Linked DNA regions of Coturnix japonica. The protein of the gene in region 1 purifies or fractionates together with the protein of each later gene. This does not show direct contact. Links are inferred from orthologs where the notes say so. Each region holds a gene or a part of one and is shown on either strand. Other genes may lie near its edges. The genes, in order: KDM5B, RB1 and PAX9.

What was found.
Region 2: the proteins of KDM5B (region 1) and RB1 purify together in Homo sapiens (affinity purification with western blotting; 3 studies listed by BioGRID). This does not show direct contact. The link is inferred for Coturnix japonica from reciprocal best matches to the Homo sapiens genes KDM5B and RB1.
Region 3: the proteins of KDM5B (region 1) and PAX9 purify together in Homo sapiens (affinity purification with western blotting, with the first as the bait; 3 studies listed by BioGRID). This does not show direct contact. The link is inferred for Coturnix japonica from reciprocal best matches to the Homo sapiens genes KDM5B and PAX9.

Annotation. Positions count from the first base shown.
Region 1 is NC_029541.1:934,196-938,925, forward strand, and holds part of KDM5B (lysine-specific demethylase 5B), read left to right. Parts: intron 1-905; coding exon 906-983; intron 984-1,512; coding exon 1,513-1,635; intron 1,636-2,439; coding exon 2,440-2,610; intron 2,611-3,921; coding exon 3,922-4,056; intron 4,057-4,605; coding exon 4,606-4,699; intron 4,700-4,730. UniProt on the Homo sapiens protein: Histone demethylase that demethylates 'Lys-4' of histone H3, thereby playing a central role in histone code. Does not demethylate histone H3 'Lys-9' or H3 'Lys-27'. Demethylates trimethylated, dimethylated and monomethylated H3 'Lys-4'.
Region 2 is NC_029516.1:151,039,161-151,043,890, reverse strand, and holds part of RB1 (retinoblastoma-associated protein), read right to left. Parts: intron 4,478-4,730; coding exon 4,361-4,477; intron 4,067-4,360; coding exon 4,010-4,066; intron 3,928-4,009; coding exon 3,896-3,927; intron 3,818-3,895; coding exon 3,741-3,817; intron 3,563-3,740; coding exon 3,360-3,562; intron 1-3,359. UniProt on the Homo sapiens protein: Tumor suppressor that is a key regulator of the G1/S transition of the cell cycle. The hypophosphorylated form binds transcription regulators of the E2F family, preventing transcription of E2F-responsive genes.
Region 3 is NC_029520.1:33,284,270-33,289,611, reverse strand, and holds the start of PAX9 (paired box protein Pax-9), read right to left. Parts: upstream 3,317-5,342; 5' UTR 3,120-3,316; coding exon 3,116-3,119; intron 2,277-3,115; coding exon 1,650-2,276; intron 358-1,649; exon of another isoform or gene 271-357; intron 1-270. UniProt on the Homo sapiens protein: Transcription factor required for normal development of thymus, parathyroid glands, ultimobranchial bodies, teeth, skeletal elements of skull and larynx as well as distal limbs.

The DNA.
Region 1 (4,730 bases):
GTAACAAGCTGGTGGGATACAGAGCAGGTTGTGCAGTGTCTGTGGATGTGTTCTGGGAGCCCCAGGGGGACGGGGTGGGTTGCAGGCCCATACTGAAGGGCCTGCTGGGCACATTGGTAAGCCTGGAAGCTTAAATAGTTATGATTTCAGCCTTGATGTATCAAAAATGCCCTGTAGGATCCCAAGACTCGTCCGTACTGCCTTGGGGTTCAGGCTGGTTTTGTGTGTTGGACAAAATACGTGTCTGGGAGTCCTTTGGTCTTTGGGTTTGCAGGTGTTCTGTGACTCCACATCCCTGCTGCAGGCTCTGCTGGGCACAGCACAGTGAGCCACGGGGTGCACTGAGCCCGGCTGCTGGCATGGCTGGTCATTGCTTCCCATGTTGCTCATGGCTGCTTTAGCACCAGGTCTCATTTCCCTGCTGAAATAAAGGATGTGCAGCTTGTAACCCCAGCTCGTTTGTGCTGAGTGCACTGCAGGGACACATTGCATCGCAGGTGTCTTTCCCGGAGCAGAGCTCTCCCATTTCAGTAGTGCTGCGCATGTTATCTTCATTCTGTAATTAGTGATAATCAGATTGCTTTATAAGTAATAAATTACTGTCAAGTTCAGATCAAATCTAATGTAGTTCAGCAAAGCTGCCTGTTGCCAAACCACCAGCACGTGATCAGTGTCAAGAGATCTGAGAGATAAAGTTCCTTTATAGTCGTATTTACAAACAGCAGCGGCGGTTTGCAGGTATTTTGTTTTGGTGGTGATCCTCAGGTTTAATTGCTCGTGCTCTGGTTGCTCCCAAGTGTTTGCAGATGAGGAATGAGGAGCTGGAAGCTCTCCTGCTCTGTGCTCTGTGCAGGGCAGCCCCATTCACCTCCTACCCTGTTGATGAGGCACTTCTGTTTTCCCAGGACTGGCAGCCTCCATTTGCATGTGATGTTGATAAGCTTCACTTCACGCCAAGGATTCAGCGGCTCAATGAGTTGGAGGTAAGCTGTAAAGCCACACATTGCCATCTCTTTGGTTTTTTTCCCCTTTCATTATGTTTTTCGTTGCTATTGAGCTCTGTGTGACTTCAGCCAACAGCATTTGGTACCTCTGCACATCAGCTTGGAGTTAACACACAGAAATTTACGTGTTCCAGCAATTACATAAGGCATTCCAGCCATAAAAAGTGAAATTAATGCTCGTTAAAGGCACTTTTAAGTGGCTAAACTTAAATTCTCAACACTGTACCTTTTCTGCCCTCTTTTTGTGCATCTACAGCATCTTTTAGAAGTAGAAGAGATGAAACACATAGAGAGAGCTTTAAAAATAACAACCCGTGTGGAACAGTTAGAAAATGAGGTTGGTGCCAGATCTGTTTGTGAGCTCTTCCATTCAGTGCTGGCATCAACTCGGGCCTCAACAAGGCAGAGGTGGGAGCAGTGGGCAGGCAGGGGTGGCTGTGGCTGCACCAGTGCTGGGAAAGGGAAGCACAGCCTGCACGTGGCACGCTGCTCACTTGTTGTTTTCCAGGCCCAAACCCGAGTGAAGCTGAACTTCCTGGACCAGATTGCGAAGTTTTGGGAGCTCCAGGGCTGCACGCTGAAAATTCCACACGTGGAGAGGAAGATCTTGGATTTATTTCAGCTTAATAGGGTAAGGCTGCTAAAGGGGGAGCTCCCCTGGAGGTGGTGGTGTGATGTTGTGGCTTTCAGGAGTTGGGGCTGTATATGAGCTGGAAATGTGTTACTTTACTTAAGCTGGCTTAGATAATGTGATGAAATAATAGGAAATGTAATGGTGGGAGTTGTCACCTGGGCATGGGGATGAAATGAGATGTTCAGCTCTTCTGTGGTTGAACTTGGAAACAAACTGGTCAGGAAGAAACTTAAGTTTATACCAGGAAGAAGCTGCTGAACAACAATAGGTAGAAAATGCATTTCCATGAGGGGTAGGGGAGTGAAAAATCAGTCGCTTTTGAGATGGAGCCTTTAGACCTGTGGAGGAGACTGTGTGTCCTGATAGTGAGGGCTGGGATTCACCACCCCCAGGGATGGTTCTTTACCCTTCCTTTCATGTAGGGTAGTTCCTGTTTGGTTGGTTCTGAGCCCATTTCATGTTGCAGTGAGAAAAGTGGTTGTGGAGCAGGGGGAAAAATGCAGCCAGGCCATCCTGAGGAGTTGGCTGAGCTGCTGTTTGCTCGTCGCATGCAGTGCTGACTTGTCTGCTGAGCAATCCAAAGAAGGTTGCAATTCCTGACAAGGTGACATGCTCCAGTTACAGCTTCTACATAATCTTCATATCTTTTTATTTTAATTGATAGTTTTAGAGTCATAGGATGAGTTTTCTCTATTAAAGCAGTAACTCTGTTGTGTCTCTGTCTCCTTTCACCCTCACAGTGCGTTCCTTCAATGCCGATCACCTTAGTGTTAAACCTGCAGCTGTTTTGTTCTCTTTCAGCTAGTTGCAGAAGAAGGAGGGTTTGATGTCGTTTGCAAAGAGAGGAAATGGACCAAAATAGCCACGAGGATGGGATTTGCTCCTGGCAAGGCCGTGGGTTCACACATCCGTGCGCATTATGAGCGAATTCTCTATCCTTACAACTTATTCCAGTCTGGAGCCAGCCTGCTGGTAAGTGTGTTGTGTCTGAACTCAAATCCTATCCATGTCAGAGTGTCTCTGTTAATTTTGTGTCAACAGAGTCTTTCCAGCGCCCGCGTTTCATGCTTTACAGCATGCAGTTAATAGTGTGCAGTCTGTGGTGATGCTGCAAGCCATGTAAAGAGCCACAGGAAAGCTTGTAACCAAGAGTAATGTTTAGAGCTGCTGCTAAATGGGATTCCTCAAGGTAACCTCATGGCCACCAACTGGAATACAGCCTTCCTGTATTTCCTCTCTGTATCATACAGAGCCCCCCAGTAATGACTGTTCTTACCTCCAGTGTAATGGTTTTAGTGCTGTCTTCTGGGCTTTCCCTTTGTTGAGCTGTGCTCTCTCTTTGCTTGGACACTGCACTGAAACAAGGCAAATGTGGCCATTTGTTGCTTTCTTTCAGTGTTTCATCCTTACTTTGTTTAGGAAGAGCTGTTTGCCTTCTAGATATTTGCTTTCAAGGATCGTATGTCCTCAGTTACCAGAAGGAGTAGGAACCAGGAGGAGTAGTGAAGGTTCAGGTTTCACATGAGGGTGTAATTGGAGGCTCCAGACCTTAGAAGAGTGGTTAAATCCAGCAGCATTCTGCCTGCCATGGCGTTGCTCTCCTATTCTGTTCACTCCTTTTCATCTCTCCCATCTTCTGAAGCGCCATTTTTCCCTCTCTTCCCTCCCCATCTCTGTAATCTGTTTTTCAAAGTCCGACTTCTTTTGTTGTCTGCAGAGAATCCATCCCTGTTCTCTTATAGTTCCCATCCTCTTTTCTCTGCTGCTGATAGAGTTCTGGTAGGAGCAGGCTCCCAGCACTGGGATGTGGCTGCAGCAGGTTGGGTGGGCTGGTTCAGATAAAGAGACTCCTCCTTTCCTTACTATTTGTTCTCTCCTTTAAAAGCAGGATGGAGAGCAGGCAGCAGTGTGGCTGCACATCACCTTGCTGCTTCTTGTGTGCCAGCAGCACAACGTGGGGCACTGCCAGGGCTTCATGTGTGCAGCTGGGAGTGTAAAGCAGCAACTGCTGGAGGAGTGTTGGGGCTGCAGCTCAGGGTCAGAAATGGTTTGGAGTTTGGAAGTGCAGTTGTAGTTGCTGGGCAAGAAAAAGGGATTTTGAAACTTGTTCAAAGTGGGACTGTTAAAACTGTCACAAATATTGTTCCTATTAACTGAGCATAGTAAATATGAAGGCCCCGTTCTGCATTCTTTCACACAAGCCAACAAATTGCTCAGCACAAAGTTCTTAATAGGAGCAGGGAAAGAAGTGAAGCAATCGTATTTCCAATTGTGTCTCTGCAGTGTCTGCAGAAGCCGGATCTCACCAGTGACACGAAGGACAAGGAGTACAAACCCCACGACATCCCACAGAGGCAGTCGGTGCAGCCGTCTGAAAGCTGCCCTCCTGCTCGCCGTGCAAAGCGCCTGCGGGCCGAGGTGAGCTGTGTGAGCTGCCCCATCTGTGTGCTCCATGCTGACCCAGCTGGGAGGCATCACCCAAGTGGAGCTGACCCAGGGGTTAATGGCACGGCGTGTTGTTGTGATGCCGTTTGAGTTGGGTATCTCCCCAGTCATTAAAACATAGAACGGTTTGGGTTGAGGGGAGCTGGCAGTGGTGCAGCCCCAGCCCTGTGCAGAGCAGCTCTCACTACACTATCTGTTCCCAGCCTGTTCAGCCAGCCCTGCCCTCAGTGCAGGGGGAATCCCAATGCACACCAGTGGTAAATGGTGGTTTATGAAATAGAAACAGATGTAAATATCCATAGCTTTGTGAAGTGTGTGATGCTTGATAGAGGAAAAGAAGAAAATCCAAAACCAGAGCTCAGGCCAGGAGTTCTGAGGAGCTCCATCCATGGGTGGGCAGCCCTGAGTTGAAGGGGCAGCAAAGGTTTTCCCAAGCACAAATGCAAACCCAGAGTGTTCTATTTAAGGGTGTTATGGGCTTGTTCATTTTTCCTCTCTTAATTCCTTTTTTCTCTTCATCAGGCAACCAACATTAAGACTGAATCTGATTCTCCAGAGGCGAGAACTCATAATCTGAGACGCAGGATGGGATGTGCACCTCCAAAGTGTGAGAATGGTGAGCAGAGAGCAGTAGGGTCCTCTGCATT
Region 2 (4,730 bases), on another chromosome or scaffold:
ATCCAGCGGTCTCCCATGTCTGTTAACCACAGAAGCTACCAGGTAACTTTATAAAACCATGGTCCTGCTAGGAATACCCTTTGGACTCTTCATGCTTACGTAGATGCACTAAAGTATGACTTCAGGTATGCCAAATATAATATAAAACTGCTCTGTTCATGGCTGAGAAGCCAGGAAACACAACCAGATGGATTTTCCTCCCTGGTTCTTCTGAATTCACTGCAGACAGCAGCAATGTGAAACATGCAGTGCAGCAGCTAACAGGGCTTTCTCAAAGGGAAACTCAAAGATCCAGGAATGCATTCATATAGCTTTAATCTGAGATATTCAAAACAATTCCTTTTTTAAACTGGCCACAAGAGATATCGATCTGATAGAAAAGTGTTTCTCATAGGAAACAGACCAACCATTCCAAGGTTTAAAATGTACTTATATCATCAATAAGGTGAAAATGAATCAAGGGGTACAGACACCTTTATTTTTGAGTCTGAAGTAATTTTAGGCCCTTTAAATCAAGTTACCAAATGTAAGTAGCACCCTAAATACTTCAATGAGATGAGGTACAAATGCTTTACAGTTAAATATACAGATAGTACGGTATACTTTATGAATAAAAAATATGTAGCAAATTGGTCTGAATATAATCTGCATCTGGAAGCAGCACAAATTCATTTGTGGATAACTTCTACTGGGATAAAAGGGGCTTCTAACTTCAGGGTTCATTTAAGATCTAAAGAAAATGCCATACTTTCTGCATGACTTAGTGTCAACATTTGCCCCTTTTCAGAATTAAGTATTATTGGGAAGAGTTTTCCATATTTTTCCACTATTTGGGGGTGGGGTTTTTTGGTTTGTTGTTTTTATGATTTCTTTTTTCCTTAATGGAAAAGAGCTGTTTGATCTCCTTCCTCATGTACAGACAACTAAATCAACTAGCAATGCAAAAAGCAATAAGCGTATTCATGATGACTAGCAAAGAAGCAATGTATTATCTTCAGTCTTTCACGTTTACTGCATATAGCTTCCAGTGTCAGATAAGGGTTAGATGAGCTCTTTAGATGAGTTTATCTTCAGAGAAATTATGTAAAGCATTCTTATGAAAACTCTCAAAACAAGTAAAACTACAATAAAATCAGCTATTCTCCCTTCAATTTCCCCATCCCTTCAAATTTCACATTATAGTCTTGCTTCCAAAAGCAGTCAGCAGAAGGAAGAAAAACTGGATTAACACAGACGATACACTTGACTTCCCAAGAGCAGACAAACCTCCTAATGAACCATTCTGCCTGCAATCACTTGTAAGACATGCATTATAACTAAGCATAAGTTACCTACCCATTCTGCTCCCTTATAGCATCTGGAGATAAGAGACATTTACAAAGTACACATCTCAACTTACATACCCTTTACTGAGGAAATTACTAATTAAGATTATACTTTTTTCATCTTGCACATCAGTACATGGAGACAGCATCCAGAGAATAAACCACAGAGGAATACAATAAATCACCCACTCATTCACTAGCTCAATCTTTTGAGGAAATCCAAAGCCTTTAGCAGACTTCTACCACTGAAATACTTCCTCCTTTTGCTTAACTGTTACCCTCGGGCCCTGTCGCTGTCACACAGAGCAGAGTTCAGCGCTGCCCCTCTGCTCCCTGTGAGGAGCTGCAGCCACCATCAGGCCTCCATCAGCTCCTCTGCTCTGTGCTGAGCACACCAAGGGACCTCAGCAGCCCCTCAGACCACTTGCCCTCCATACCCTTCACCATCTTTATAGCCGTCCTTTGGACACTAATTTCTTACAAACCCAAACTGCACCCGAGTACTTGAGGTAGTCTAAATCTAAATGTTAATTAACCAGCTAGCCTTAACAACATAGTAACTGTCAGTTATGTAAGTTATTTACTGTAATAGTAATTCTAGAGGGAAGGGAGGACCTCCTATGAGGAGGCCACAGAGTCACAGGGTAACTGTGGAGAGTAACAGTCCAGTTGCAGCCAGCACATAGCTGGCTGTCAGCACGTTACCCTCCATTTTTGAGAGCCCTGCTGTGCCCTCTAGTGATGAGCCTGCCTGTATCAAGGAGGAGGATGTTGGCTTAGCTGTGTTTTAAGTACAGGCCAAGCATTATATAAGAAGGGAACAAAGTAAGTGCTTTTGCAATTCTACAGATACCTACTGACAGCCTCTGAAATAAGCTGCATAAGCCACTCCAAGACAGTGCCAAACACCTCAGGCAACTCAAGACAACAGATTCAATACTGAAAACACTGTGTTTTGGATTCTCCAGTCTGAAAGCCCAAATCTGAATCAGATTATCTGCATGTTGTGCTTGGATTACTGAGTAGAAATTGGTAGATTAAAGCCTTCCTGCTCATGATTAAGCTGGAATCAAACCAGTCTGCATGAGGTGTCAGAAGCCATTTTCTGCTTGTGGAGAGTAAAATTTAAGTATTTGTATCTCTGTCATTACCCTCCAAGCATTAAAATTCTCAAATAAGCAAAGCATTCTTTAAACATTTTGAGCAAAGTTCTTCATCTTCTCTGCTACTATAAGCTCTGGTACAAAGCTCTCAATCTTCAAGTGCTTTCAGGCAGTCTTTTTCAAAGAAATTCTATGCATTCAGCAGCAGAGAGGCATGTGCATCTCACCAAGATCTAACCAAAATCATATACAAACTTGGTTCACAGTAGAATATCATATTAGTTATGCCATATAATGTTCTTTAAATTTCCCAGATCTACAAGATATCATATGGGTTCTTAAATGGTCACTTCATGTCATTCTGTCAGCAGCCTTTATAGTCTCCTGTTTTGTACCATTAATAGCATTTTTGGTACATAACTAATACACAGTATAAAGAAACAGCTGTTGACTTACGAAGATTCACCCTGAAACACAAAACCCAACCTGCCAGAATGCTTTTGATGCCATTCAAAAAAGTTGAAGGAATTTCAGTGCAAGTTACAATGAGAATTGGGATTTTAAATACTATTAACAATCACATCAGATGCACAATGCCTTACAGTCAAGCAGGACTAAAAACCAGATGAAGTTTAGAGATAAGTGCATAGAATGTACTGCCTTGTCTACTGGCACCAAAATACTGTGTATGGGCATTACTACTCTTAATATCCATGCCAGACTATTGAAAGATGCTGGCACATAATTCAGCAGTGCTAAGCTGATCTCTCTCTTTCTTCCCAAAACCTGAAGACACACTAAAGATCTTCTTTAGCTCTTTGCCAGAAACACATCTCAGCAAGACTTCAACTTCTTTTATATATCTAGGTGTATTTTTTTCTAGATTTGCATGTTATACAAGGACAAATAACTGCTTTAAAACATTACTTACAGATTGCCAAGCAAGAGATTCCATAATGCGATGTTCACAGCGTTCTAGATGCTTTATCATGTCCCTTGTTAGGCTTGGCTCCACTTTAATGAAACTTTCAATCACCTTGTAGAAGTCGAAAGCTTTTAAATCAAATACATTGAGAATCCACGGGAAAGACAAGTCTGTTTCGGTACTGGTACCATCACTTTGTGAAGCAGTTCCTGTAAGGGAAGCAGATTACGATTACCAAGAGCATTACATTCTTTCACTTCTCACATGTTTGGTATTTATTAAATCATTGCTAGTTTCCTTGCTATTTACTGCATTTTACATATTAGAATAAATAGCAATAATTCGCAATCACTAACAGTGCTCCTTAGCACTTTGGATTCAACTTACTGCCATATGTAGCCATGACAATTTCAAGAGCACACGCCAGAAGAGATGTGTGGAAGATGTTATCATTCAGAAGTTTGCTAAAGGGAAAACGAAATCATTAATACTTATCCCAAAAATAAAATAACAGGTAATAATGATCAGTGGTTGGTACGTACCTAAAATTGTGCACTGAGAGACGCTCTTCTTCCTGAGGTATATAAATGAAGCTTTGATTATTTTCAGCCATCAAAAATGCAATGCCAGTACACAGCTATCAGTACGAAACTTACCGACTTCAGCATAGACTCCATTACTCTGTAATACAGCCGTACTCCAAGCTGGTATCTCTATTAGAAAGGAGGGAAAAAAAAAAAAAAAAAAAAAAAAAGAAAGAAAAAAAATTAAGAATCCTATGTTTTTTGGCTTGCTTTTTTGTTTTTGCTTGCATTAGTATTAGCATAGCATTAACAAGAACCACTTGTTAATGCTATCTTTACAGAGCATTAAAAGAAAAGCATATCCATTCCTTGAAAAGATTAGTACTTTCTATTGTTAATCTGCACTGAAGACAAAGTAGTAAGTCAGGTCACACATTAGCTAGCATCAAGTTTATAACAAGTAATAATCAAAATGCTACTTACCTGTGAGCCAATCTCAGCACATCCCTGCCCAACTGCTTCAGCAAATTTCTTTTTGAAGATGTGTCCAAGGCTTTCCACTCTTTTCAGGATACTGTCTTCAGGGTTCACTGTGCAGTTCTAGTCAAGTACAGAAAAGAGGAGAGGGAAAGGAAAGGCAAGGAAAGTATTTTATTTCCAAACACCTCAATTAGTCCTGCTTGACCTTGTAGCATCTCTCTTAGTCACCTCATCAGCATAAATCAAAGTGGAGTATTTAAGGTATCATATATAATATTAGATTTATACATATATATATGCACATACATAATATAGAGTATATGATATATATATTGTTCATCCAATACATAACCAAGTATGTTACTGTCTTTCA
Region 3 (5,342 bases), on another chromosome or scaffold:
GCACAGGGTTCTAAATACACTGAGGACCAAAACTTAAGACAAAGCAAACAGACAAACCACAAAAGAAAAAGAAAAAAAAAAAAAAAAAAAAGAGAGAGAGAGAGAGAGATCTTAAAGGGAAGAAAATAAAAGAAAAACAAATGGAAAGGGTGGAAAAAGGAGAAAAGTGCCCTATCCTTTACGTGCAGCAGGCGTGGCACGGAGACCCGGGCTGTGCTTGCTCTCCCAACGACCCCCCCCCCCCCCCCAGCGGAGTAGCGTGCGGGGCCGCACCCGCACTGCGAGTGGCTCTGAGAAGCCCTTTGGACACTGGAGGGGCACCAACCTGAGGCTGGCTTGAGAAACTGAGCCCTCTCGGTGAGTGCCCTTTTCTGCTGATCTCACACTTTCCCATGAATAGGGGCTTCCTTTCCGTGTCAGAGAGGTCAGTTTATCCTATAAATCAAGGGCGAACAGCCCCCATCGGCTCCAACGGCTGCTCGGCAGCCCCAGCCCGGCGCTGGGAAGGAGGGGGGAGGGTTACACCGCGGAAAGACGCGTGCGGCTCCGCTGTGAGAGACGGGGAGGGCGAGAGGCGGCCGTGCGGGCAGAGGCCTGTGTCTGCTGGAGGCAGGAATAGGAGGGCTCGCTACACAATTTTGACTCGAGTGTGATCGTACAGTTTGCATTTCTTTAATGCTTACTACCAACATCACCTCCACACGGCCCAGAGCAAGCGCTGTCAGGAGGGTGTTGTTAAGGCCGACTCAGACACATCTGTTTGTGGCAGCGCTGAGTACAGAAGCAGTTCATAAAGCAGAGGGCGAATAAGTGCAAAAACACTATTCGGGTGTACTTCTAAATAAGAGTTATGTGCTTGTGTATTGCCTGCGGGGGGGGGGGTAGGGGGGAGGAATGTTTTCTCAAAGTCGGAATAAGATAATTAACCTGCAATACATAAAGGAGCACTTCGAATTAGAAGTGCTTCTGGAACCGGACTGCTGCCGTTAAAAAACGCAATGAGAAGACAACTTCCCCCCTCCCCCCTCCGCTCACTGGGAGGGCAGAGCGGGACGCGGGGAGCGCTGGAGGCGGCGGTTCTTCCCGACTGTTGCTGGAACTACAGCAGCCGCCTGGCACTAACTGACATGGAAAAAATGTCCCTTTCCCGGCGGCAAAGCGCAGTGAACGGCCGGGGGACGCGACGCGGTTCCCAGACGAAGAAACAGAAAGAAGGTGGAAGGGATACAGAGAGCAAACCTTCGGGGTTTCGTTTTCCCGGACCACCGCTTCGAAGGAAAATACAGCATCAGAATTAAGGCAATTAGGTGACATTTGAACTTCCTGCCTGAGCGTATTTGGCCTGATTGCGAAAAGCAGAGAGAACGGACTGCTCGGTAACGCCGAGGTGGCGCCTACGGCCCGACGGAGGCAGAGAACCCGCCGGCCGCACCGGCACTGGCACCGAGCGCGGCCCGGGTCGCTCCCTGCGGCCACAATTGGTACAGCTTGGCCCTGGTGCCACCGGAGACGGCCGATGTTTGCCATCACACCCGCAGCACTCCCGAACATTGGCTGCATCCTAATCATTGGGCATGTCCCGCAGAAGCTCAGTGTCCGGCTCTAGCTGGGACGCTGCAGAGCTCGCTACCCTCGGGTCCCCTCCTCACCTTGGTCCGTGATGGAGCGGATGCCCAGGATGTCAGTCACCGAGTGGGACGAGGGCCAGGTGCGGGGCATGGCCATGGTGCCAGGGATGGCAGGCACTCCTGGCGGCGTGGGCACCTTGGCTCCCGCGGCAGCGATGGGGCTGGGGTAGGAGTAGATGTGGTTGTAGGGCAGGGCGGGCTGCGGGGGCGGCTGGTGCTGCTTGTAGGACTCGTAGTGGCCCTGCTGGGACAGGTTCCCGATCTTGTTGCGGAGGATGCGGCTGATGGAGCTGACCGACGGCACGTTGTACTTGTCGCACACGCCGTCGGCCAGCAGGCGATCCCGAATCTCCCAGGCGAAGATGCCCGGATCCCTTTGTTTGTAGGTCCGGATATGTTTAACCACCGTGGGGGTGGTGACCCGCGGCTTGCTGCCTCCGATAGCCCCCGGTAGGATGGAGCCGGTCTCGTTGTAGCGAGCCAAGATTTTGCTAACACAGCCGTGGGAAACACGGAGCTGACGGCTGATGTCGCACGGCCTGATCCCCAGCTGTGCCAGTTCCACGATCCGCAGCCGGATGGCGTCGGGCAGGGGCCTCCCGTTGACGAACACCCCCCCGAGCTGGTTCACCTCCCCGAAGGCGGGTTCTGCAAGCAAGCACAAACACGGCCGTCGGACACTGCGCTGTGCTCCGGAGGGCTTTCATGGGCCGATGTCATCGCGCAACGACCGCCCAGACACGGAGTTCCCAAATAGCAGAATATCACCGAAATTAAAACAAAAGGGGGGGAGAGGGAGGGAGAAAGAAAAAAGAGGAACAGAAAGTGAAGAAAAAAAAATAATACTAAAACACCAGAAAAGAATACCGTGGCAACAAATGTCGGATTTCTCCGAATCGTGCACCGAGCATATTCCAAGGAAGCACATTCCAGAGATGAAAAAATGAGATCGCCCTGACAGAAAGTTCAGCTCTGTTGTCACAGGAAGAGGAACACGAAGAAAAGAAAAAGAAAGAGAAAAGAAAAACATTTTCAGAGACATGGGGGAGGGGAAGGAAGGAAAAGTAGTTGAGGAAATTCTTTTAGATCAGGGAGAGGCGGTGGCAGCGCTGCTCCTGCAGCACCGCCCGCGCCCCGCGTTGTACCGAGCAGTTCTGGGGCTGCTCGCGTTTACCAGCACGATTACAGACGGCTGTAAAACAAACGTGCTAAAACGTTAACTGCTCCGATCGGTGTCAGGAATAATATACAACGTGCCACAGGTTGCGGCCATCCACTCTGCCGCGATCCTGCCTCACGGCCGCATAATAACATTAATAATAAACCAAGCAGTCATTAGCTTTTCCTCCTCCCCGCTCTGCCCCTCGGCGCGCTGTCCCGACGTGTAGAAACACGAATAAAGTCAATAAGGAGCCGCGGTGGCACATGACGGCGCGGGTATGAGTCTCCCTCTCCCTTGACAGCCCCCCGAAGATCCCAGCACTCACCCATTCCTCCGAGCGGGACACCTCCGGGGCCGCCCTAAATCCCCACCGCAGCCCCTGGCTCCCGACCTCCCGCTGCCCCGGCCGCGCTCGCCCGCCGGACTCCCTGCTTTCCTCCGAGGAGATGGCAGGGGGGCGAGAAAAAAAAGACTACGAGGAAATCTACTTCCCGGCGAGAGAGCTTTGAGTTCTGCATTTCAACCTCAGGGCAACGTGGGCAGGGCCGGGCTGGGCCGGGAGCCGCAGCCCCCCGCTCCCGAGCCCGCCCCCGGGGGCGGCCCGGCGGCCCTGCAGCCCCGCCAGTGGCCGCGGGAGATGACGGACAGCGCTGGGCCGGCGGCCCTTCCGCTGCCTCTCGCGGACGTGCTCAGCACCTGGTCCCTACCGCAACAGCAACGCCCGCCTAATACCTGCCAGGCGGTAAGCCGCACGCGAAGAGAAATTAGCGCAATTAGGGAGCGGAGCCGGTATTGTACTGGGCACCGCTGTGAGGGGCGTCGGGGCTGGGCCCGGCGTTCCGCGGGTTCCCCAGCCCCAGAAAGCGGCTGCGTAGAAAGCGGACGGTGCCTGGGAACGCATACGGCTCTCCTGTCTTTGCTCTGCTGATCTGGCAGAGTAGGTCTTTGTTTTCAGCCCTCTTTACAGTAAAGCACTTTTTGACTACTGAACATATCACGGGTGGTGCAGGAGAGGGTGGCAAACGGCGGCGGTTACATTATTTTTGGTGCAAGCCACGAAGCTGTCGGGAATTCAGCTGCAGCCTCGAGACGAGATGGGCCGGGGGCCCCCGGTATATCCCCGCGGCCCGAACACCCCCGAGTTTTGGTTTAATCGCCTCGCCAAACGATACACTGCGCTGAACTACTCGTCCTGCAGCCCATTCCGACTTTATCAAGGACACTGCTCCGTATTAACGGTTAAAAGAAAAACAGACAAGGCTGGTAGGAATTAGAGCGTGCGTGGGTCACGGCGTGTTTGGTTTGGCAGTGGGTGCGCGGATCCCACTCTATGTGCTTCTCTCATGCATCCAACGTCTGTTGCAAATCACGGGCTTCCCAACCTCGACCAAGAAGTTACCGTAATTTCTTTCACTTTTTTTTCCTGAGTGTTTTTGTTTGTTTCTTTTCATAGGCTCCCAAAGACCCAGGTCCGACAAAGGGAGTAAAACGTGAGAATGGAAATGATACGGTGATGGCAGCGCACGGAATATCGGCGACTGAAATACGGATCTAACGTCTCTGGTGTGTATGAACGCTCCTTATTACATGAAATCTTTGTAAGATACTTCAAATATTATTATTATTAATAATAATAATAATAATAATCGAGCTAGATTGCAGAGCCTTCACATAACGCACAGTCAGAAATAGGGACGATGCTACGGGGATCTCCCAGAAAATCCTGGTGTGTTGCAGACGTTTTGTGGAGAAAAGAAGACGAACGCGGTTATTTTGCATCTCTCTCCATTTGATCGGAATATTCGCGTGTCCTTCTGTTCATTCTTCGGGTATTCAACTCAACCATTTCCTATGGCAGTTTTGTGTTTGTTTCAGGAACACGAGGGGCACCTTCGGAACACCACATGCGTAAATGGTGCGCTTCCGAAAGTCAGACCCATCACCTCTGCTGAAGGGGTCCCCCGCACTGACACACGCACATACCAGTTCAACAACCCGAAAGCGATCGCGTTCATTCTCTGCAGCTCGGCGCGGTGACCTGACCCGCCGCGACTAGTTTTAGGGCAGGAGGCGCTGAATTAGCGGGACCCGGATCCAACATTTAATTAAATTAATTACTTAATTTAACAAAGGAGAGGAGTGCGTGTTCGTGAGCCTGCCGACCTGCATTAGCAGTGTGCCCTCCCCAAAGGACAGCAACCGGGAGCCCCGGCCGCTCCCTCGCCGCTGCCGCCGGGCCCTGGACCCATTACCTCCCGCTGCCCCCCTCCCAGAGCCCGACGGTGTGAAACCGGGGCTGAGCTCCACGCATCCTCTCGGTTCCAGCCCGGCCCCGCGACTCCTGGACTCAGTGTCCCCGACTCAGCAGTGTTCCCCTGCTGCTCGGACGTGAGCCCGAGCCGCTTGTTCACAGTTTCTTACCCATCTGCGCCCATTGTGTTCACAACTGTGTCCTTTCCTTTCACCCCCCTCCCCCCGAGTGTCTTCCAACCTGTCTGTTCCCCTCCTTCCCTCTCCCACCCCTCCACCCCGCCTCTGATCTCCTGGATATT